4 linked regions of the Drosophila melanogaster genome follow. The gene in region 2 interacts genetically with the main gene of each other region. Each region holds a gene or a part of one and is shown on either strand. Other genes may lie near its edges. The genes, in order: Myd88, Tl, Pdk1 and mxc.

What was found.
Region 1: of Tl (region 2) and Myd88, changing one suppresses a phenotype caused by changing the other (phenotypic suppression), as found in Drosophila melanogaster (2 studies listed by BioGRID).
Region 3: of Tl (region 2) and Pdk1, changing one suppresses a phenotype caused by changing the other (phenotypic suppression), as found in Drosophila melanogaster (one study listed by BioGRID).
Region 4: of Tl (region 2) and mxc, changing one suppresses a phenotype caused by changing the other (phenotypic suppression), as found in Drosophila melanogaster (one study listed by BioGRID).

What each region holds. Positions count from the first base shown.
Region 1 is NT_033778.4:9,302,701-9,310,699, reverse strand, and holds Myd88 (Myd88), read left to right. Parts: upstream 1-1,977; 5' UTR 1,978-2,905; coding exon 2,906-3,431; intron 3,432-4,943; coding exon 4,944-5,233; intron 5,234-5,297; coding exon 5,298-5,466; intron 5,467-5,539; coding exon 5,540-5,726; intron 5,727-6,364; coding exon 6,365-6,806; 3' UTR 6,807-7,877; downstream 7,878-7,999.
Region 2 is NT_033777.3:26,797,200-26,802,043, forward strand, and holds the start of Tl (toll), read left to right. Parts: upstream 1-1,841; 5' UTR 1,842-2,281; intron 2,282-4,844. UniProt on the Drosophila melanogaster protein: Receptor for the cleaved activated form of spz, spaetzle C-106. Binding to spaetzle C-106 activates the Toll signaling pathway and induces expression of the antifungal peptide drosomycin.
Region 3 is NT_037436.4:127,478-132,461, forward strand, and holds the start of Pdk1 (Phosphoinositide-dependent kinase 1), read left to right. Parts: upstream 1-1,972; 5' UTR 1,973-2,345; coding exon 2,346-2,411; intron 2,412-3,252; exon of another isoform or gene 3,253-4,094; intron 4,095-4,334; exon of another isoform or gene 4,335-4,984.
Region 4 is NC_004354.4:9,237,433-9,245,006, reverse strand, and holds the start of mxc (multi sex combs), read left to right. Parts: upstream 1-1,539; 5' UTR 1,540-1,802; coding exon 1,803-1,848; intron 1,849-1,906; coding exon 1,907-2,074; intron 2,075-2,137; coding exon 2,138-2,312; intron 2,313-2,381; coding exon 2,382-2,682; intron 2,683-2,786; coding exon 2,787-6,753; intron 6,754-6,815; coding exon 6,816-7,518; intron 7,519-7,574. Other genes in the region: Larp7 (La related protein 7), read right to left, coding at 1-800, 861-1,131.

The sequences.
Region 1 (7,999 bases), on a different chromosome or scaffold from region 2:
AATTTTTGTTTTTCCATTCAAAACTGATACGGTTAACTCTTAACTAAAAACTGGCTAAATTATTTGCAATAAATATCTGATTTAAGAGCACATGTTTCAGGTAAATTACGTGATTTTATAGTTGGACAGTTTCAGCTTTTCCTTACAATTAGTTTTCTCTGTATACGAATTTATTTGTTTTTAAGCCATTTGGCGAGCAGGGAAGCGGAATTTCAATGGCGGGCAGGGCGAAAACAAATGGAAAGCTTTAAATTAGCTCAATAAATTGTAAACTTAAACATTTAATCTACTTAGAGCGGGTCGTTGTTAAATGCAATGCAAGTACATCTGGGACAAAGAATCACACACCTCATTCAGATTTGTAAGATACGCATTTTGGCCCAGAAAGCCATTCGAATTTGACCACAAATACACACAGGCTAAAACAGAGGCTAAAATAATCAAATTTGTCGCCAGGCAGTCACAAAGGATATTTAGTATATACAATCAAACAACAATATACTTAGTAATTGCATTTAACACATGGGGCAGAGCATATCCACTAGGTTTGCAAAATTGATTTAACTGCATGCTTAAACTAACGAAAGTAAAAAGGAGATTAACTGAATGAAGGAGGTAGGGGAGACCTAATTAAAAGAACACAACTAATGTCTATATTTATGGCTAGCTAAGTGTAAAAATGTAAGCTGAATTATTATACAAACAACTACAATCGAAGCAAGTAAATTGATGTAATTGAAATACTCGAAACGTTCTAGGGCGAAATACCAATGAATATTGAATAATGACACAGGTTAAACACAAACACGCAGCAAGCATAAATTAATGAATAACGAAATTATTTCTCGAGAAAAAAATCAAACTTTTTAGCCTTTGAACGAGAGACTTTTGGTGCCCAATCCAGTTTGAGCAATTATTTACAAGTGAAAAATGAACGAAATACAAAGAAAGACACACAAACCACACCACACACAGGCAGATGTATTGTAAATAGAGCCACAAACAAACCAAATGAGTAAATACCAAGTAGGTACATTAATAACTAATGATGGGGCTTATCCGAGTAAATCAACATTAAATAAATTAACAACGGAATTCAAACAAAAGCAGGTAACTTCAACTTCAACTTGTGTGCAAGGCATCAACTTTTACTGTTAATTGTTGCTGGCAATGCAAAACGCAACGCCGACCGAAAAACGAAAACTACAAAAATAAACCATGAAAAAGCAAAACAAATATATTTAAAATACATTTGAACGCCTTCAGCGTTTTATTCATCAAGCAAAGCAAGAAATGTTGAATCGAAAGAAAAAGTCAAACAAAGCCATAAAAGCGATAAATCAATTTGTGTCACCTGTGTAGTAAGTATATCTCAGTATTTGTAACTGAAAATGAAAAGCGTTGAGGTGCAGGCATCAACCACACAAAGAACAAACAAAATCAAATGAAAATAAACTGAATTTACAAGTGCTCTCTGACTATTATTTACGAGAGTGTGGTCCTTGGTTGGCATGTTCATTTCCCCACATTATCGTCTCAAATCAGTTGATTTCGGGGAAGCAATATTTCTCGGTAAAATGAGTAAGTATGTCTTGGACAGGTCGAAATGTAAAATATTCCTTTTTGAGGCACCATTAAAGGTACCATTCTCTGCATAACTGAAAGGAGTTAGATTGCCTACATCAGCCGGTCGAATAGGAGAGTGCGTTTTTACTCACTTTACTACTCTTCTTGCTTTTGCACTAGCAAGAAATCATTATCAATTATGCTTATGAATAATTAGGAATCCTACGGCAAGAACCAACGTTCCTAAATTATATTTAACCAACCGGAAATTAAGTCAACCACTCTTAGAGCGCCATCTGGTGAATGCTTTTGGAACCTATTAAAGTGTGGCCCGCGCACCAAAAATACCGCAACCGATAACTGGCCCCGATAAAGTACCAAACCTCGCCGATGACTGGCCACCCGAAAAGCTGTGACTCGCCAAGCTTTTGCCCATCGATCGCCACGAGCTTATCGGAATCGCGATCTGATCTGAAAAGTGGGAACGCAGCGCAGATAAATTAATTAGCAATTAGCCAGTGCAAACAGAGTGTTGTCAGCCGACTAGAAAAAGCAGCTGAGCTGATAGTTCCGCCTGTGGCCCCCGCGCTTTCGCCCTGCATCGGAACGAAACCAAAATAAACAAGCGAGTGAAAGGCGGTGGAGAAAGAGCGCGGGAGAGTGAGCGCGAAGAGTAGTCCGTTGGGGAGGAGGCGGAGGAGGAGCGGACAACGAGGCAGAAACAAAAGCACAAACGGCGGACAGAACCAGTCGAAACAAAACAACAAACCGGAGCGGACGCACTCGAAAAAAGCGAAACGAATTTATTTCTGTGCTTAGGGCGACACTGTGTGCGTGCGCCACTGATTGTGAGTGTGTGTGTTGTGTATATTTAAACAATATTCAAAAAATCATACGCCAGACGAATAAAAAACGCGACGAAAACGAAGGCGAAGATCTCCATCTCCTCTCGCAGCGGAGCAGACAGATAAATAAAAACAGAATCCGAGACAGCAACAACAACGCGACTGTGACGCGGCAAGGTGCTGGAGGTCACTCGGTCCATTTCGCACCGCACTGAAGTATAGAAGTTTAGCAGTAAAGCACCACCCCCTTCTAACCAGTTTCAGCTTCATCCGCCCGCAAAAAACAAAAAAAAAACAAGCACGCGCGATCGGAAAACTCGAAAAAATCTACAGAGCAGCACAACTCACGCGCTTCATCGTTTTATTGCTCGCCGCCCTCTCGACTGATAAACGTCAGTTGATAAATATATATCGCATCACATCGCATCCACACTAAAACAAATACGCCAGCAAACAAACACCAATTATTCCAATAAAGCCAGCGCCAAGTGCGAATGCGCCCTCGATTTGTATGCCATCAGCAGCACTCGGTGGCCCATTCCCACTACCAGCCCCACTCCCACTTCCATCACCATACCCACCGCCATCCCAATCCGCCCCATCACCATCACATTTACGGCGCCACTGACGTCAGTTATCGGCGTTATCGCACCGCTGGCATGGTGGTGGCCGAGGGAGTTATGGACTCCGGGTCGGGATCGGGCACGGGAACGGGCTTGGGGCACTTCAACGAGACCCCATTATCCGCACTGGGCATCGAGACCCGCACCCAGCTGTCCCGCATGCTGAACCGCAAGAAGGTGCTGCGATCCGAGGAGGGCTACCAGCGGGACTGGCGCGGCATCTCGGAGCTGGCCAAGCAGAAGGGATTCGTCGACGAGAACGCCAACAATCCCATGGATCTGGTGCTGATCAGCTGGAGCCAGCGGAGTCCCCAGACCGCCAAGGTGGGCCATCTGGAACACTTCCTGGGCATTATCGATCGGTGGGACGTCTGCGACGATATCCAGGAGAATCTGGGTAGGCATTAACTATTTTTTACTTATGGTAGTCGCTATCTATCTATAACTAAACTATGTCACTTGAGTTTTGAGTATCATTTGTTTTAGATTAGCTTTTAAATGATGGTCTGACGATTCGACTTTTACTTCAAAATGCCATCGTGACAGTGAAAATTTAGTTAAACGTCTAGACTAACTATGTATGTTTGACTGTTCTCGAGTTTGCGAAGTTGAAGAGGAATTTTAAATAATGTACTTATCAAATGATATGTACACAAATGTTGGAAATCGGAAAATGAACCATTAAATTTTACTTTAATGGCGAGCCACACTTATCAATTATTTTTGGCTGATCCATTTTTGGTTTTATGACCGGAAAAGCCGTTTCGAGTTTATAAAAATGGACGTGGTAATCTATATAATATAGGGAGTATATGCAGAAAGCGTACATATTTAACTTATCTATCGCACATTTATCTAAGTCAAACAAAGCTTATCGTCGGATACATAAAACTATTGAGTTATGATGAGTAGATACGTAATGACAGAAATAAAAGTCACCCACTTTCCCATGATTAATTTGTGTTTATTTCTATTTATTGTCAAATAAAACGCTTCGACTTACAAGATTTTTATTACCACATCCCGACAAATTGAAAAACACACAGCCATAAAGAAAAAATTCAAAACAATAATTTCTAAAAGCCGCAAACAACAGAACTTAAACTATAGAAAATGCCAATCAGTTAAGAACGAAATTTTCTTATTTATTTGCACAATGGGGATTCACCCAGCAAAAACTGTTGTCATTAATAAAAAACCTCGAACAGTCAATTTTGTTTAGGAGCAGATGTTGTATAGATATATTCGTTGTGACCAAAATGGTTCGATTTAAAAACAAATGAACGCACTCGGAAGTTGAATGCTTAAGGTATAAAAAAGCACACATAATTAAAATCGTATTAGGAATTTTTCAAAGGAAATGTTTGAATTCCTTTTCTAATGATCTTTCATTGGGTGTTTTAGAAATATTCCAATAAAACTAAAAATAACTAAAAAAGTAAATTTTTTATAAATGTGTCGTTGATGATAACTGCTTGAATCTAGAATTCACTACCTCTTACTAGAATGATCTTTTCTGCTGACAATATATTTGGAATAAAAAGATGGGGAGACAATGGCAGACATCTGAATGGATATATGCATACACTTATCTATTCATACATAATATTGAGTTACAAATCATAAATACTACCAATTTGTTATGAAAGCTTCATATATTAGCGACTGTGTGCAGAAACTCAGATAAACTTCACTATGCCATTCCTTTAAGCTCATTATATATCAACAAAGGGTTATATTTATTATTTAATAAACATAATTTAAGTAATTTGATTTTGACATTAACATGTATAAATTGTGTTGTTTACTTTACGAATGATGTGTTAAGAAAACTTTTTGTGCGGCCTTGTAGTTTTTAGCAATCATAATCCCTTTAGTAAAACTGTTTTAATTTTGCTCTCCTCAAAAGCCAAGGACACCCAGCGCTTCATCATGAAACAGGAGCAGCGACAGACTGCTCTCGTGGAGGCGTGTCCGCCGCCCCCCAGCGACTGCTTCGAGACCAACAACAACTACAGCAGCAGCAACAACATCACAGTGGGCCAAAGTGTGCAGATCCTCAGCGACGAGGACCAGAGATGTGTACAGATGGGCCAACCGCTGCCCAGATACAACGCATGTGTTCTGTACGCGGAGGCAGACATCGATCATGCCACCGAGATCATGAATAATCTAGAGTCTGAGCGATACAATCTCAGGGTGAGTGGGATGCGCTCGGTTGCTGTGTGTTGTATTAAATAACCATGGGATCGTTCTATTGCAGCTATTCCTGCGCCACCGCGACATGCTAATGGGCGTTCCGTTCGAGCATGTCCAGCTATCCCATTTCATGGCCACCCGCTGCAATCACCTGATCGTCGTGCTCACAGAGGAGTTTCTTCGGAGTCCGGAGAACACGTACCTCGTGAACTTCACCCAAAAGATCCAGATTGGTGAGTAGCTGATACGCATTTGTATCGCAGAGCCAGAGTCGCATTACAAGTTCAACGATCTGACTTTCCCCAGAGAATCACACTCGCAAGATCATACCGATTCTGTACAAAACGGACATGCACATACCCCAGACCCTGGGCATTTACACGCACATCAAGTACGCCGGGGACTCCAAGTTGTTCAACTTCTGGGACAAGTTGGCTCGTTCCCTACACGATCTGGATGCCTTTTCGATCTACTCCACGCGCCAGGTGCAGACGTAAGTGTTGCTACTTCCTGCGATATATGTATATGTATGTGTTCCAAAAATACTTGATACATTTTTAGGGGTATAAAATCTCAAGATAATGTAGATTGCTAGCCAACAGATAAATGAGGTTTGCAAACTGAATACGAATACATGAAGTAGTCTAGTCATCCCAATTTAAGAAGCTGTTTTAGAATACATTTTATTAGCTTAAGTTTTTGATTTTACTGTTCAATTATTGCTACTGCTGGTTGTAGGGGCTGCGAAATCGTTTCACAACATTCACATAAAATGTGCAAATGTATACCAACTGCTTGTAAACAAAATATATAAGCAAATATCACATGGCGTACGAGCGATCAACCTTAGAACAGCCTAGCAGGTATTTTTATTTAGTTTTGCTAAATTCAAAGAAGATACGTTTGTTTCAGAAAGATGAACTCATACGACTTTTAAAGTGCCCAGGAAGTAATACACTGCATATGAGTAATCAAATTTGAAACAAATTTATAAACAGGAAATAAATGTATTATATATCTGGGCGTAAGATTATATTGAAGCGAAATTAGTTTTGCTGTTAATTGTAAAACATGTTGGAATTTTATCACTCATATCATAAATTTGGCATTCTCTAAAATTTCTTTATGCAGTCCCTCGCCGGTGGAGGAATCGGCTCCCCGGGTGACCACTCCCAGCATTCGGATTCAGATCAACGACAAGGATGTCACTGATATGCCAAACTACAACAGCTGCAAAGTGCCGGAGGCGGAGACCACAATCGTTTCGGTTTCCGGTGACACCGGCTCACCCCTGCCGGAGCACAAGCCGAAGAAAAAGGATCGCTTCCTGCGCAGAATCACGCACAGCTTTGGAAAGACGGCGCGGAGCGATGGGGCCAGCGGCAAGACTCTGCGTCATGCCCACTCCGTCAGCACCATAAATGTCACGGAACGCGAGAGGACACTCAGTGCCAGCAGCTCCAACATCTCCACCACGTCGGAGAGCAAGAAGAGCTTCATCAAGTGGCAGCCGAACATCCTGAAGAAGGCCCTATTCTCGCGATCCAGCAGCAAGCTGCAGACGCCGGGCTGAGATCATAGTGTTAGGATAGCCATTCATTCGATTTCTCGATTCTTTGATTCCTTGTCGTGTGCCCAGTCTAGTTGTGGCCGCCCAGTCACCAATGTCGTCACCCTCCATGCCTAGTGATAATCTTTAGCCTAATCCTTATCAAGTCAACTAACTTAATATACTTAGACGCACTTGTTAACTTATATAAGACAACAACGAATAAAGACAATACCACATATCCGCACAAATGTATCACAAAAGCACACAGACTACCAAATACGACACGATATTGCTATATGCTCTATGTATATGACTCTGGACTTGATAAACAGACAAATTGGCAATTGCGTTGAGTGAGGTTAAATACGCGACACTGCTAATCGAAGTGCTCAATTAACTGTTAGTCACGCGTTCGATAAGTGACTTACTTAATTTAATTATCTCGCGCGCCGTTCTCGCAACTCAGACCCCATCTGAGAATGAGTAATGAGCATATATAACGCATACGTACATATGGCTGCATTGTGCGAGCAGTGCTTTATCATTTTGTAAACTGCTCAAGCCGTTTTAGACGATTGCTAGCAATAAGTAAACTGTTTGTTCTCGGTACCGCCATCGGCTGGTTGCCTCATGTGATTAGCTCTAGCCTAGCTGTTACCGATTGTTACTGATTGCTGTGAATGCGTGCCCATATGCCTGATGTGCACCTAAGCACACTCACTTGTTATAAAGCAAAGACTATCAATACGTCATCCATCATCACATCGTCTCTTTCAATGTATCTAGAGTCTATATAGTATTATATGTATCTCCGGACAGTGCGTTTCAAAACCATATAGAGTCGATCGACAACCATATATTATGTCCAACTTTTGTCAAGCGACAACGAATGTGGATAAAACGCAATATACATATGTTCCTCAATGTCGGGCATCGAACGCTCGAACTTCGACCTTCGCGACACGTGGCACTTGGCGGTCATGGTTATGAAACGCACTGTATCCATATCGGAAATAAGCTAGCTCCAGTTGAGCGGCAATAAACTGTTCAATGTTTGGCTCAATAATTTATTGTTGAATGTAGACAACCTTTAGTTCGTTCATGTTTAATAAACATTGCAGTTGATGTGTGAATCCCCGTATATGTATTTACATACAGTTGTTCGCGTACATATTGAGTGGAAATGTTTATCGACCAGTTCCGGTTAATCTACA
Region 2 (4,844 bases):
TTGTTGCACTATTTATGTGCTTCTCCACTGATGAAAATGAAATCAAATTAAATTTTCGGCACAATTCAAAGTGAAATTTTGCAGCTAACATAAAACAAGGCAAATGAGGAATAAATCTCCCGATGTGTGTCCTGTGCGCTGGGTTTTCCCATGTGGGTACATTGAATGGGAAATTACTGGAATTTCCTTTCGGTCAGAATTACATGCGCATATTTCGGTAATATCTTTGAAATTTACAGTAAATCCTAGGTATTTGAAATGAAAAACACGGGCAGTGTGGCAAATGTGTATATTAATGCATCTTTGCGGGGAGAAGTAGCCATTATGTTGCCTATTAAGCTTATCCAGATTTGCGTTGCTTTGTTTGATTTGACGTAAAGTTATTTGCTTGGAAAGAAAACATCTTAAATCCTTGAAAATTGTGGTGTAAGCCTAGTAGTAAACATTAAAATTGTTGTTGTAATATTTCAACAAATTTATTTAAATTTCAAAGACTTTAGATAATTACCAATTGGGAAATGGAATCAACACAAGATTGCTATGAAAATTGTACATGAATTCAAAGATTATTCATAAGCATGTCCTAATTTTCCATACGCCGTGCATAATTACAGAAAACACAGTTGCAGAGGGATACGATTTCCATTTGCATTTCCCATTCCCCGTCCCTGTCGCACTTCACACGCTGCTCCCCCGGGAGCTATGTCCCATCCTTGTTCCGCATTAGCAGAACGCACTTCCACTTCATTTGAGTCGCAAGCGGCAGAGCGAGAGGGTAGATGTTGTGGAAGTGTGGTTTTAATTGGCACACAACAACAACAGCAAGCAGTCTGCTACGTGCTGGCAATTACATTTTACATTTTACTCAGAGAGAGAGACTAATCAACTAATAAATCCATAATCACTGTTATTACGTATGCTGCCTGAGATGCTTAGACTTTGAAGTTAACCGGTTAAACTTGGCTAACAAGAACTGAGAACTACTGGCCAACAACAACTGCCGGCTTTTCCCCCAAAAATGAAAACAAAACAGTAGAAGGCTCTCTTGCTCTACCACTTTCTCTTATACTCTTATACGAAGTACCTGTATTTCAACTGTTTTCCTCTCTCGCATGACTTTTATCGCATGCGATTTGTTTATAGTGCAACGACCACAGACACGAAGATAATTCGTGTGTCTCTCTCTTTTTCTCCCACGCATCTGTACCTTCGAACGGTATTTGTGGGGTAGAAGAAATTGCTCGACTTATTATATCGTTTGCCACTCAGAAGTTAGGGAAAGAATTTTATTTTTTATAAAAATCCTAGTCAACTAACATAAATCAACTGAAAGCTCGATTCCTCATATTATCACATTGTGTTATTGCTACAAGAACTGTTGTTCTAAAAATTCTTATCAGTACGTCAAAAATATAAAAAAATTTCGAGACTAGCATTTTTATCCAACTCATATTTATTTATAATAAGCTGATTATATATAAAACCCAAACAGCTTTATAGAAATAACTTCACACGTTATTTAAGGTTAAAAAAGTAGCAAGATAGGATGTTATTAAAAGTAGAATATAAAAAATATAATAATAATTTAAAATGTCTTAACAAACTGGAGCTTAAGGAACCAAAAGCAAACAAAATGATATAAAACATATAAAGACTGTGACAAAATTATTAAAATTTAAAATAAAATATATTAATAGGCTGATTACAAATTTAAGTAAATAATGTTTTCTATATTGAGCAAAGGGTATCTTGCCGCCGACTCAGCCACTCTCTCGTCTTTCCCTCCACACTAAGCGCACTACCAGCTCTTCATCTCTCAGTTCTTCTTTCTTTTCGAGTCGAGTTCAGTTTGTTCCGAATCGCCGACGTGAACGCACGCTTGTCGCGCTTGTAGCAGTTGGATTTTTGATTTTCCCAGCCAGAGTCCCGCGTTCGTGTGTTGTGGGCCGCTTTTGTTTGTCTCGTTTTGTGGCCAGCGATTTGGCAACCGAATAAGCCAAGTTAAGAGCAACGCTACGCAGCACAAAATCCATAAAAACAAGAAACACAAGGCGCAATTAAATGCAAATGTGTGAAAGTGTAGCAAGCATTTAACCAAAAATAAAATCGCAAAAAATCGCGGCTTCAAAGTGCGAACAAGCGCGAACAGAGAAGCTAAACAACAGTGCCAGTGCGTGTTTGTTCGTGGCAGCTTAAGAAAAGCCAAATAAATATTAATATTTGCACAAGAGATCGCAGCGGAGTAGCTAACCTCACATTTAATAAAACACGTATTAAAACGGTAAGTATTTACGTCTCCTTGTTCAGTTATTACACTTTGAACCGTGCCATCTCGCTCTGTCTCGTTATCTCCCATTCGATTTTGCTTTGTGCTAAGCTTCGCTTGGCTCGCGCTAAGCTCAGCTATCTCTGTCCCACTCTCTGATCAGTCCAATTCGCCTATAATTGCACAGAAAAAAATTTACCAAATTGATGGCTCATCGGGCAATTGGTTGACATTTTGTTCCAGTTTTGATCACAGTCAGATAAAATCAATTTAAAGTACATAAAATGAGCTGTAAAATATTTGTAAACATCTTTAAATTGATCTATTAATACTACTACTACTACTACTACTACTACTAGTACTCTGCGTAAAACCGTATTTTTTCCTGTGCAAATTGGCGATGAATAACAGTTTCAGCAGTTGTAACCGTTGCACAATTTTCCCCAGTGCTTGTGTGTGTCACACTCTTGTTGTCCACAATTTCCGTGGTTTTTCTCGGCACTTTCCAGGGAAATGTGCAAAATGCTGCAGTGCAGCAGCAAGTGCTCTTCGGCCTTGGGGTGTGCTTTGCGTTTTGGCCAACCCATGAACGAAACAAAAAAGAAAACAAAGCCACACGCATTTGGCCCAAAGCTCACGAGCCAGCATATTAACACTTTGAATTTTTGGCCAAAAACCAGTTTGGAATCGAAAAAACAAACAGACACAACAAAAGTTTATTTACTACCAAAGAGAGCTTCGTTCAACAGGTTTTCATTGCGGGGACTTTTATTCGTATTGAAGGTGGAAATACCTGGGTAATGCAGGTTTCAAAAGTACTTCTAACAAACCAGAAAATGCCCACTTGTGCTTTAAAAGCTAATAAGTTGCTGATTAGAAACAGCAAAACAAAATAAGAGAAGAAGGAAGGGACAAGAATCTTCTCGCTTGTACCAATTATGGTAAAAATCGTATGACCTTATGATAAACTTAGACTTTTGTTTTTAATTCATTTCGATTCTTCTTGGGTTTTCCAACACCATAAATCTCTTCTTAGTTGATAGCCCTTGACCACTAGCTACATTTATATGAAAAATTCGGAAAACCCCAAGATTCAACCCCAAAAGTTCAACGATTATCGCTCAGAAGCAGCAGGTCTTGAATTCAAGAACAATGCTGTTTTAACAATAATTATACAATATATATAAATTTTGATTGTATTTTTTTCCGATAGTTAACATCCTGCCATTGAGCTTCTTTCGCCTGAGGGTTTTCCGAATAACTGTACTCTGGATTTAGGTTAAGATTTTTCTTCTTTGGCCCACATCAAAGGCAAAGAAGCTTTCAAAGCGGCTATAACAATGGCGGCAAACTGAAAAAAAAAAATGCTAGTCTTCGTCTGTGAAGGTAAAACTGCGGAAGTCATTTAACAGTCTACTTAACTTCTGCCAAAAAAAAAAGAAGTGAACGAAAAAAATGAAGTGGAAAACGGCAAACTGCAAACGTTCAAGATGCTCCGCTTGGGTCTTTCGTCTTGGCCACGTTAGAAAGTAGCTGTAATTGTGGCTCCGTTATTGTTATGGCCAAACCGCCACTAGTCCAACTGCAGGCGGTAAAAGTTGCCCAAAATGAATTGTCATACAAACACGTTTGTTATAAATATTTCTGCACAATGAGAGACTCATTTAAGATTCATTGTACTCGCTTTTTTAGTTGTTAGCTTTATTTTTCCCCCTCTCATTATTGAGGGCGTTTGTCCACTCGGTTGATAAGCGAAAAGGCAGAAAAACAATATTCAAAGCTGACTCCGCTTTGGTTTTTACATCTGCCAAGTGTTTTTTAGCTTTCTGCTATTTCACTCTTAGTTATTGGCGACTTGTGTTGATAATTAGCACGTCGGCTTTCAGCGTTTCTATGACTTGTGGTCCGCTCAGCGTGATGAGTCAGCCTCCTAAGCTGAAAAGAGCGTTACGATCGAACCACCATATGTCTTACTCTCCCGATCTCAGATCAGCGGGCGGTTTAACCCAAAGTCAAACCAGATCCGTGACGTAAATGGGAGACAAATACACGCAAAAAAAAAACAAGACTGAAGATCTGAAGATTGTATCTATAAGATCTGTTATTAAAGTGATATGTAATTACATACTACATTCTTATATGATGACTATAATGACTAATATAAACACGTTTTAATATAGTACAAGTTTATATTATATAGCGTAATATCATACTTACCGTATTGTTATCACCTGTTTTTTTTTAACAACTCATTTCTTTTCGTGTGATTTCAACGTGTGAGGTTTTTTACTCTCCAATCAGATTGAACTGAGATAGAACTGCCTGACCAGTCACAGGGCTTATTGCCTTGCATTCAATTAATTAATTTCAATTTTATTGCTTCAGCTGACCATAAAATCGTGAAGGGAGGAATAACCATAAGTTCCCCACTGCGACATTCTCTCGGTGGAGGGAAATGAAGTCGTTGCACTTGCTTTCACCCTAATGCCTTCATCAGCTGCACAAACGAAAAATCTCATTAATTTTCCACTTTCTGTCTATCTTTGGGTTATCTCTCCATTGTTTGTCCCCGTCCCAG
Region 3 (4,984 bases), on a different chromosome or scaffold from region 2:
CAAATTGAGGACGAATCGGCGGGTCCATTGATGTGTAACTCTGGGATACCGACGGGTTTAATAATGGGCAACTAAATGAGAGCTCCGAGGGTTCCGAACCGGTTCGTCTGCCAAGCTTAGCTTCCAAGCGGGGGGAAGTCCAGCAATTAGAAAGAAACTGGTGCACAGCCCACCGTTGATGACTAAATCAGCTGGGATTTCGTGAAATTAGCTTTTTATACTAAGCGCTTGGCTGAAAATATATGCAAATGGGATTTTAAAAATATTTTTCAGGCGACATTGTGTCTCGCCGAACCTCGATTGCTGCCCATTAAAAATGCTAATTTCAAATATTTTTTAGCAGAAAGCAAGAAATAAATTAGCCACAAAATGCTAAAAGCAGAGGCCAAATAAAAACGATTTTAACTAAGCCACCGAACTCGCTAAGGGTGAGACAAATTAAATTGAATTTGATTATTATATAAAATAAAATAGGTAAGAAGAAAATTCGCGACCATTTCTAAAATATGCAGTCAAAGTTCATTCGATGAAGACGAATTGTAATTTTCATAGATTTATTTGAGCCTAAACGCCGTTCAGTTTGAATGAGTGCTTATCACAAGTACACAAAAACTAAAGAAATATTACTTATATTGCTAATTGATAAGGTCTTTGAATATTAAATGTGTTTATTAAACTGTGTTATTTAAACTACGCAGCAATTCACAAGTAAGTCTTTAAACAAATTAAGCTAGGAAATTTAAATAATACATAAATGGAAACTCAACCAAATATAGAAAATAACAGGAATAGAACTAATATTTACAATATTTCTTAACAAGATAAAAAACCATAACAGGAACAGAACTAATATTTACAATATTTCTTAAAGAGAAAAAAAAACAAAGTGAGAGAAAAACTTGATGACGAAAGCGTCGGCATCCACGTCAGCAAAGCCAAAGCAACTGCAGTTTCCGCTTCCCCTTAATTTTGTTTTGTTTTCGCTTCGTAGTAAAACGTAAAAACGAGAATAAAACCGTGAGCGGGAGCGGGAGCAGCAAGTGAATTTTTTCACGCTGGGTGGAAAAGGCGCGCGAACGTGACGGAACGCCGGAAAGTTGTGGAACAGGCGATGTGAATGAATTGTGGAACGCGTTTGTGTAGAAGGCCTTACACTTATGCTAATGTGGAACCCAGAGTGCGGATCAACGAACGATCCGTGCGCGAAGAGAGCGGGAATAGTTTAAATTCCAGAAAATGCACATTTGTACACATACATACATACATAATTGCCTTGGAAGTTTACGACAGCGACGTTGTCCACAATTTCATTTTATAGATGGGGGCGTGGCACTGATGCATGATCTTGATGGAATTATGTACCTATGTATGTATGTATGTAAATGTAAGCAAGATTCGTTGCAGTAACAACAAATAAGTGGATGAAAACAAGTGCGTCACTTACTCATTAATAAATAAATAATTAATGGGCGGCGCATTCGAAATGTAAAAGAAAACGCAAATAGCTTGCCCACTCGCGGCAATAACGGAACCGTGACTTGCAAATCGGTGAAATGAATAGGATATGCATAACTGTTTTTTCGAAAGACCTGCAAATAATTCAAGAAAGTTCCAGAAATACCCAAATTTAATAGCTATCCAACATTAGGGTGACAATAACGTGTTTCAACAGATGCAATATATACGCAAAATCAAAGAAAAACAAACAAAACCCGTTAAAAACTAATTATTTAAAAAAGAATACAAAAATATAAATTTAAAGCTAACTTAATAAAAAATAACATAATTTTCCCATTATTCATGTGTCGATTAAAACTCAAATGAAAATTCTTACACTTCTCCGCACTCTTTTTTACCCCATAACTCTCTATCTCTCTTCCAGTTCTCCGCGCTCACGATTTGGTAACTGTGGCCCAATGCCGCCGTTCCCAGTTTAGCGCGCTCTCCTTGCCTTTTCTTTCGCCTTTTCGACTCATTTCGAATCGGAAATTTGACGGGTTCGGTCGTAATCACGGATACAAATTTGACGCCCTGTTGGAAAAACCACAACGTCCAATTTTCCTTTTATCGCGCCAAAAAGAAATGCGAGTAAGACCCGAGTCTTCGTGTATACGTATAATTACCATTTGCAATCACAAAGGTTTTGCAACTGTCGCCGGGCGGTGAAAACTCAAGTGAATAAATATCGCAAAGTGAAGCAAATAAAAAAATATTACAAAAACCGGTAAAACGAAATGAAACTGAAATGAGTGAGGGCAGCAACTTCAAGTGACGAAAGCAATCCGTTTACCGTTGTCTTTGCCTCTTCATCCTCCCCGAGAACGGCGGAGAACGCGAAAAATATCATGAAATGTAAAAGCTGGTCCAACAAAATTAACAACTACGTTGTGCGCAAAATAAAGTCTATCAAGGTAAATAGTGTCTTAAAAAGGTGCGGTGTTTGGCCCTGATACATATATACTTATATTTATTTAAATTTTGATTAAGTGAATATATCTTATGAGGCTTATGAGACTTGTTAAGGTGTTAAAAAATAAGTTTATAGCATAGATATGGGGTAATGCGAAAGTACAATTTGTTAAAGTTGTTTTTAATTAAAATAATTTAGTAAAACTTTTTTTACAAACTACAAGTAATGCTTTCGAGAAAATACCTCCCATCAATTTTATCGTTAAATTACACAAAATTGTTCTTGGAAAAAAAAATTGAATTGGTTGTACAAATTTTTGTTTACAAAATACAAAAGCTGCAAAATAATTTATTGACATGAAATAATGAAATACTCATAAAGCTGTGAAATTTAATGTTTGAGCTATATAGCAAAAAAAAAAAGTATTTTTACTTTTTGCAATTCTTGTTACCAATAAATTTAAATATTTCCGTACATTTCATCTAAAAAATTTCCATTGACAACACATGCTGGTATAATATATAAAGATCAAAGCCATAAACTCCTCACTAAGTGGGCAATAAAATAAGATAATTCAACGACTGTCTGTATAACAACCACTTTAAAAGCTATCTAGATGGAGTTGATTATGAATACATTTTCAGATGCTTATATTACTCGACATAAATAGGCAGTGGATGTGTATAATTATTTTGCAGGCACCCGACAACGAAAATAAAATGCATAAAAAAGTTTAATGAAGCCGCAGGGGTTGACTAAATTTATTTAACAACTGCAGTTCATTGCCTCGCAAATTGCTTGATACTTTAAAAACAACAACAAAAATTCACAGCAAAAAAACACAATGATTCCAGCTGGTTTCTAAACAACAATTTATTGTGGTTTCTTTTACTTTTAATTGCTATCTATTAGCAGCAACCAATAAATGAATTATTTATTTTATTTTCTCTTGCAAGCAGCCAAAAGTAAAATTATGCCCCTCTCTCTCCCGATCCGAGTTCATCACTTTGTCTTCTTTTAGCTGTTTTTATTTTGCAAATAACTTGAGTAGTGGATGGGAAACAACGCAAAGGCCTTTCACTTGCATGTCTGTTGCTCGGTTTGTTGTCATTAGGTTTACTGTTGTTGTTGCACACACTCATCCGCTTACATACCTCGTTTATATACTTATTTACATTTGAAGTTGCCGTCGTTGGTATGTTTTACTACGTATCAGCTTGTCCGCTTTGAGCTGCCCCTTCGCTTTTCAAGCATTTTGTTTTGTCCGCTCTGTTTTTCAGCTATTCCAATTCTCTTCCTTCGTTGCCCTGTGTATGTATTCGTAATCGGGTTCGGATTCTTGTTTATTTTTACACCACTTCTCTTTCTCTTTCGCACGAAAATTCCTCGAATTCTTTTTTATCCATATTTTCCTTTTCCAGCGGGAAAAACGAGTTTTTCCAGCAGCGCCGCATTCTTAGCCTGTCGCCTTGTCTCTTTCCCACTTTTATAGTGTCTCCGCTTCTTGCTTGTTTACAGTTAGGAATGCGGTCGTCTCCCCTCTCTCTCTCTCTCTCTCTCTCTCTCTCACTCTCTCTCTTCAAAAAGAGCGTGCGCTCTCTTTGGCCTTATGTAGTTGTGTGGATTTCGACTGAAACTTGTTTTCGCTTTGCCCCGTCGTGTTTATTTATAAAAAGTCACTGGCAAACAATTACAGTGCAACAATTACGCTCTCAAAAGTGGCGCGCAACTTGTTCGCCTTGTAAAAAAAATTGTGACGCCAGCGGCGACACGACTGCGCTGCTTTGGCCCCATTTAACTGAGAGCGCCGAGGGTTAGCTTGGCGGGGGCGGCAACGCCAAAGAGAGTTCTCTCGGGTGGCGCTCGTCTCCCATCGGTTTCGCTGCTCGAGCCAAATGCTTGGAAGTCAAAGTCTCGCCCGACCATAGTTTCTTATTGGATTTCAAACCAGTCGCTTCGTGCACGCGGCGTTCGACTACGCACACACACACACCCATAGCGCGCTGGCATTGATATACATACACAGGCAAATACACGACGCCCCAAGTTCGTGTGATGTAGTGCTGTAGTGGTGCGATTAAATAATACTCCACAAAAGGCCAAATAAATTACATAAAATCTAAATCGGAATAAAAATAAGTGTATTCTCCCTCCGTGTTGTGTTCAAAGTATTTAACCGATTGTTTTCATTAGTCAAATTAATGTAGTACAACGTATGAGTGTGAGCCAGTTCCTAGAAAAATAAGAGGGCATAAAAAATAACAGACACATACAGCGTCTCGTTTCTTATAAATTTTCCTACTGCGTCGGAATTATTGTCTTGATTATTGTTGTTTCTGGCGAACTTTTGTGATTTGTTTCGAGAAACATACTGCGGCGGTTTCATAATTGTGCAAATCAAGGGAAGCACAATACGAATGTTAAGAATCAAAGCTAAGAATTAAATAAAATTAAAGCCGCACACATACATATACACAGGCACGCGCAGAGTCGAAAAAATACGCGCGCTCGCTCTGTACAGTGTGTGCGTGTACGCGGTGGCTGGCTCTTCTTCTTCATTCGTGTGCCCATTGG
Region 4 (7,574 bases), on a different chromosome or scaffold from region 2:
ATTGCGCATACTGCTCCAACTAGTCTTGGGTAGCACCTTGAGCTCCAGGGCACTGGGCTCAATGTTTGGCTTGTCCACGATCGCCTTCTTCTTGCGCTTGCGACGGCGCTTTTTGGCAGCTTCATCGCCATCGGTTGCCTCTGTTTTGTCCTCCTGCTCGGAGGCTTCGGCTGTGCCCTCTGCATCCGTTTCACTCGCTGTTTCCCCAGCTGTAGAGGTCTCGCTAGGCTGGCCCTCCTCCAACTTAACCCGTTTCACCTCGTGTATCTCCTCGCGATCCTTGTCGGTGGCCTCCCTTTTTAGATTTCGCTTTGGCAACTCAACCTGTTCAGCCTCTGACTGCGGCTGCTCCGCTTTCTGTTGTATCTGCTGCTGCTGCTGAAAGGAGCGCACACTGGCCAGATCACTGGGATCGGTTTCTACGGACAAAACGCCCTGTATCTGGGCAAAAGCCTTCACAGCTTTCTCCAAGGACCCGCTCTTTTCGAACTCGATAAAGGCAAATTCCTTGATCTTCTTAGTGCCCGGATAGTGGGGCAGGGACACGTAGGCCACCGGTCCGTAGCGGCTGAATACCTCCTTCAGCCAATCGTGAGTGGCATTTGCAGGCAGGGCCTCTACATACAAGGTTTTGTCGTTGACATCGCGCTGATCTGGTAGCTTGGTACGTCGCTTGACCTTTAGTTCGGTCTCATCCAGCTCCAGAAGCTGGGAGTTGCTTAGTGCCTTGGCTATCTGCTGCACATCCTGGGTGAGCGTCTTTATCTTATTGAAAGTGAGAAAGATTTCCAATGGTACATCTGTAAAAGAATAACATGATCAGTGTTATGTTGGCTGGTGAGCCAACCTTAGCTACTCACATGGATCCTGCTCTACGTAGCGCCGAAGGAAGCGATCCTTGCTCAAGTTGGCGTCACCGAAGTAGAATTCCATTTGACCGCGAATCGAATTGAACAAATGCCTCTTCCTTTTGCGTCCACCATCCTTTTTATCCGGCGATGCGTCTTCCGGCGCCGGTTCTTTGGAATTTTCCTCAGCTGGTTCAGTGGGTGCGGCTGGATCGGGTTTCTCCGCTGATGTCGCGGGCTCCTGACCCTCGCCCTTCTCCTTCTCGATACTCTTGGCAGCCATTGAGTGCCAGTTAACCAGTAATCTAAGTCACTCGAATAAAATATTGCACTTGGTTTTTGCGTTCTGATCTATTTGGCAACGCCGTCTAGTTATGAATTGCTGGGATGCCAGGTATTTGCAGCATTCCCATATCGATAGTTTAACGAATATCGGATTCTAAGTACTGTAACGTACACATAAAAACGAATTGAAGCAAGACCATCAAAGCAATAAAAACTGCTATAATTTGTTTTAAGCGAAAGAGACGTATTTCTTTGCTTTAATTATTACCATTATTTCCCACGCTCCTAATAAGGCTTGGCAGCCAAGCGCAAACAACGGGACTATATCGATAGTTCGGCGCTGTGGCAACCCTACTGCGTTGTTTTGGCGGGCGGCAAAAAAAACACAGATGCTATGCTAACCTATGTGTGTTGTACAGTGCGCCGCTAGAATCGGCAACAACAAAACGAAAATAGTCGGCGAATAGGCGAGAAAATGGTTTATTCTCTCTCGAATTAAAGCGCTGATTCAATTCCGACTAACTATTGAGTGATTAAACCTGCAACAGTCAATAATAAGGCATTACAAGTGCGTTCGATAAACCTAAAGTCTTGCAAGCGAAAAAAAAAAGAAAGGCAAGGCGAAAAGCGAGTGGATGGTGACGCTTAGCTGAGTCGGAAAGTCCAGCCATGGAGTCGATTGTCCTGCATTCGGACGTGGCTCGCTTGGTCCTGGGTAGGTTTTCCCTGGACGCTTTTCTAGCTCGCAATATTTATGCTCTTCCATTTTGTAGGCTACCTAGTCAACCAGAATCTAAAAAGGGCCGCACACACTCTGTGTCGCACATCGCCTCACCTGCGCCACGAGTTCCTGGCCCTTAAACAGGGCCTGCAGACGCACAACTTCCTTCACGGGGGTCTGGAGGAGATAATCTGCGAGCATGTCAAGATCACAAGCTTGGGTAAATTAGCACGCTCCTTGCGTTTCTTTTTTTTTGCGGCTGACCGAAAATCTCTCTTTTCAGTGGCCGGTGCCGTGCAGAAGCTGCCGCTGGATATGCGTATGCAGCTGCAGCAGATGAAGCTGTCCGAACGGGTCAGCGAACTGATAGCCGCCGGCGAGAGGAGTAGCTGTACCAATGAAAGCAGCACCCCAGGCGAGCCCACCATATCACAGTCGCATCGCAAGAGAAGGCGCTTGTAATTATAGATTTTTCCTTGACACAAGCACATCGGAATTCTCATTGCTCTCTTACCCCTTTTCCCCAGGCGCACCCATTCTCCCGTGAACAGCATTTCTTCGCCTTCGTTTAGCAAGCGACCGCGTCTGCTGCCGCCACACTTCTACTGCAGCGTTAACCGCGACAAGGTCAGGCAGAGTTTCCTAGGCAGCCAGGATGACTGCGAGGCGGAACTGGACGAAGAGGATGGCGAGAGCACAACGGCCACCGAGGACTTGGAGGAGGATGACTTACTTCCGGCGAATGGTCCTGGTCCGCGCAACAATTCCACGCCGCGCCAAGGTCATACCGAGTCCAATCCACTTCTGCTCACGCCGCAAAGCATGCCTGTAAGTCCATAGACATGCTTAATGCATATCTGCTTAATTAACCAATAGTGCATCTATTATGTATTCTAAACAAAAAACACTCTTTCGATTTACATTGATTTCAGGAACTGGCCTGCGCGATAATTAAGAATCAGGACTTCCAGGAGACGCTGGTAAAGAATATTAACGTAGCGCTGCAGACGGTGACTGTTAACAATCCGTCGGTAAGCTGTGACGCCATGTTGGATGGTCTAGTGAAGAACATACTGGAGGCCACCGAGAAGGATCCCTCGTTCGATCGCATCATACAGGAGGTGGTGATCGGGGATGAACCATTGGCAAATGAGGAGGACCCTGGTGTGTCGCCTGCCTCTGATGCTGCTGGGGCTGCTATTGTTCCCGCTGCTGATGGAGATGTGCTGCCGACAGAACAGGCCGTGGATCCCGTGCCGCCGCAAACACCGCTTATTATTCGCACCGCCGTTGCAGCCACCGCAGGAACCAATGCAGATCCCAATTTCTCCATCTCCAAGCTTATCGTACTGAACTCCAACGAGAGTGTCCAAAAAATGGTTGCTGGTTTGGATACGTCCAATATCAGCTTTACAAGCGAAGGCCTCAATATAAATTTTGCCGATCCAGCGTCAATGCTCAGCGAGGTGGAGGCGACAGCTGCTGGTCAGGTTTGTGTGGACGCCACCACCGGGCAGCTGACGTTTCCCATGTACCTCTCGAACGGTGGACTGCTGTCGCATCTTCCATTCCTGGTGAACAACGAGTGGGTAGCCCAGCAACTTGGGCCGGATGCCTTTGCCAACATTGATGACTCGCACATTGAGATATCGCTGCCGGAGCCGATTACTCTGTCTGCCAATCAGCTGCCCCCCAATTCCATTATCATTAGCAGCGCCCAGAAACAACCACCTCCCCCAAGCGTGGAGCCTCCAGTCCAGTTGATAAAAGATGCAGCCAAAGTGGACAACAAGGCGGGCCAGGGAACGGCGGCAAAAGAGCAACCGATAGATCAACTAGAGGAGGAGCAGCGAAAGTTTCCACCCGCATCCCTGGATTCATCTAGACAAGTCATGGAGAGAGTGACACCCTCGACGTCGGGAATAATTAACGTAAAGGCCTTTCGTAGCTTATCCACTCCCCGAAAGAGAACTTCGCATGTACGAACATTAACTTTTTCCCCTAAGGTTCCTCCTGGTGGCGTCCTGCATTCCAATACGCCGCTGTCCACTAGGCGACCTGGTTTGCTGGCCAAAGCCCAAGAGAAGCCAATTATCAACCATGTGGAGATCATCCAGGCCGCCTGCGACCTGAGCTCAAACGAGGGCCTTGGAGGAGTGCCACCACTCTTCGCCATGGAGGAGTGCAGCAATCAGACGGTGATCAGGGCCCATCCTCCAGCTGCCGCTCCGTCAGCAGCTCCGGTTCCTCCGTTGGTGGCCACGCCCAAAAGAAAACAGAAGCGACAAGCAGCGGTCAAGGCCTGCAAGCGAATCATCTCCCAGGCGGAATCGGAAACCAAGACGGATAAGGATCAAAAGAAAATTATGCCCAAAAATAACTCTGCCTGCAGCGCATCGTCGACCGCTCACGATGACAGCGCCGAGGCCAGCAAAGAGAATCTCCAGGAGCAGCAGAAGATTGAAGGAAAGCCAGATGTAGGCTCCGCCGCCAGAGGAGACGCAGTTGTAGATAACGATATGGCCGCCTGGCAGCGCCAGTTGCATGGCTCCAATTCTGACCTTGAAAATCGGCTGCGTGAGATTAACTCCAAGCGCGAGGAGGTAAAGGCCTCCGGCCGCTCGAGGCGTCCAAAGAAGAAAGATACACCCACTTCAGCTTCGTCGAGAGCACGAAAGGCTCCAATGGTCAAAGCGAAGGCGGAGCCCATGAATCTGGCAAAGAAACCGCAGCGCAGTGTTGGGGATTCCACTGAGAAGATCAACATCAAGATTATCACTCCTCAGAAACCAAAGCTCCTGAAGAAAAAGAAGGTGTTTGAGGCAAAAGAAGAAATCATAGACGAAACCATAGAAGAAACCATAGACGAAACCCAAGCGGAGATCGAGGAAAAGGATCAGAAGAAGAAAAGTGAACAAGGATGCATATATGCAAAGGATCAGGAGCAAGCGAAGGCCTTAGCGGCAGAACTGTCGCGACCCAACATGGCCATGCTTCTGGACACTCCGTTTAAAGCATCTCCCATTGGAGCAGGAGCAAGCGGAGCCGTAGAAGATGACACCACATCAAAGGAAGCTGGTGTTGGTGTAGCCGCTATCATCCCACCCACGCCAGGAATGGCCATTCCACCTCTGGACACGCCATATGGCAAGTTGCCCAGTAGCAGCTTTCTCTTTGGTTCGGATACCAAAAGTATTATGGATACGCCCCAGTTGAGTGCCATCACACCTGGATTTCGCTTGACACCTTTTGGACAGATGCCCGGTACTCCGATAGGCAGTGCTGCCAAGACTGAGTACTCTTCAGGCAGTTCCTATTATCGTCCGGATGAAGCGGAACACACCGATGCGAATGCGCAGTGCGCAATACAACAGTGGGGTGATCCGCAGGATAAGAAACAACCCAAGGTTCGGTCAACGCCCAAGAAGAAAAAGGTTGAGGCAGAGGATGAGCTTTCGCAACAGAAGAATCAAGAGCTAATAGAAATGGAGTGTTCAAAGAAAAGCCTTCATCCGGAGGACAAACATGCTGAGGACAATAAGAAAACACCGAAAAGACCAGAGAAGCCAATGGATGAACATCTGAAGGAAACTGAAAACGATGGTGAAAAGAATGAAACGGTTTTAGAAAAGACACCAGATGCTGTGAAGCAACCCGTTGTCCTGTCCTTGGAGCCCACCGTCCTTCGACGCGTTCGATCCTTTGGCAGTGAGGCGGTGGACAGTGCGGAGTCCGCTACAGCTGGCTCATTTCCCTCCGATCAGCAGCAGCTTCCGCACTATAAACTTTTGCCTGGCCTGCCCGAGGCAATTATTGAAGGATCTAGTAATTCTAGCTCCTCGGCAACCAGTTCATCGTCCTCATCCAGTTCGAGCTCAAGCTCCTCCAGTAGTTCATCATCGAGTTCCTCATCCTCGTCAAGTTCTCACAGCGGAAAGGGGGAAAGCAGAGGGGAAGAGGCAAATGGCGAGAATGCCGACGAAAAGTGCAGCAAGAAAAAGGAGATGCTACTAAACATAGATAACTTATCGAACATTAGCAGCACGGAAGACGAAGAGTGGCTGAAGGCAGCCGGTTCTGAGGATGCAGTTCTGCCCATGCTTGCTATCGACAGTCAGCCAGGTCAGTTAGTTAGCCAGGACGGGGAGGTCCGCTATCCTATCCGGAATTGGCTGACACCAAGCAAAGAGCAGGCCCAGGAGACGGATACCAGTGGAGAACAGCAAACAAAACCTACACCTCCTAAACCGGTGGCTGCTCCTGTTCCGCCTCCGCCGCTTCCTCTAACACCGCCAGCTGCTCCTCCGCCGCCTCCACCGCCTCCGCCAGAGGCGGACGATCCTTCATCCGTCGCTCTTCCAACGGCCTCTACAAGCCGTCAGGAACACCAACGCCAGCAGCTGAATGAAAAACGCCAACGTGTAGTGGCCAAGTTTAAGGAGCAACCCCAACCGATCAAAGGTCAAGGGAGAAAGACTGCCAACAAGAAGCTCACTGCAATGCGTGAAAATGCCAAACTGGCCAATCCAAGCAGTCAAAAATCGCCAAAAAATCGAAAGCACATCGAACCACTGAAAACAAAAGCAGCTAAAAAGCAAATAGAACCAAATCCGAATGTTAAGTCCACAGAGGCTACTGGTCCGCCAGTCGGTGCCGCCACAGATGCGCCAGCAGATCCGCCAGCCGGCAAATTGGATCCCGCTCTGCTCATGGCCCTCAATCTATCTGCGAAAAAACAGGAATCATTACCGATTGTAATCAAACCAAAGGTAAATCGAGCAGCGGTTGAAATTGCGGCACAGCCTGCCCCTGGAAAACGTGGACGCCCGAAAAAGGTACAGAACGGGGAGCCAGCCAATCTCTGTATGCGACGATCCTCGCGCCTAGTCGAAAATAAAAGTAAGTAGTTAAGATCCAATCGAATGGGTATTGAAACTAATATATTGTCTTTGCAAAACTAGCTCCTGCTCCGGAAGATCTCTCCAAATCCACTGAAGGAGCAAAGACGAAGACCCAAATCAAGGCAAATACCAAGAAACCGGCCAAGAAACGTGTCGAGGCAAGGGTACCCTCCTCCACAACCGATGCTCCGGCACTGCCCATTGTAGCGGAGGCGGAATCCACCCAAAAATCTCCAAAGCAAAAGCCGCAAATTCAGCAAACAATACAAGAACCTAAACAGGATCCACCGCCATCGAAATGCGATTCGGAGCCCGATGACAGCGACTTCGAGCAGGACATGTGCCTGAGCAGCAGCCAGGAGCGTTTTACCTATAATTTCACATATGCGGACAACGGACCAAAGTCCAGCAATCCGATGATACGTCAGCCATCGAGCTATTTCAAAAGCTATCAGATGCGCTTGATGACCGATGACGAACAGCTGCATACGCTGCGCATAGCCAGTGCCCAGGTGCTCTGTCTGGGCCAACCGGTGGCCAGCGCCATTCGCAATATACCCAAGAAGCGGATACGCCGCCTGACCGGCAATAGTGGCGGGACAGCGGCAACAGGGGGAAGTGCAAGTGTAAGTGGAGGAAGTGGAACGGGAGCGGAAGTTGCTGCTGCTGGCGAACAGCCTTCGGCCACGTCTACGCCGCTGGTGGAGAAGCCCCCATCCAGGAGTGGGCCGCAAGATGAGGAAGATCTGGAGGTGGCCACCATGTAAGTGGTGAACATATGCATTTTATTTTTTGTATGCTTATCATAATAATAATACC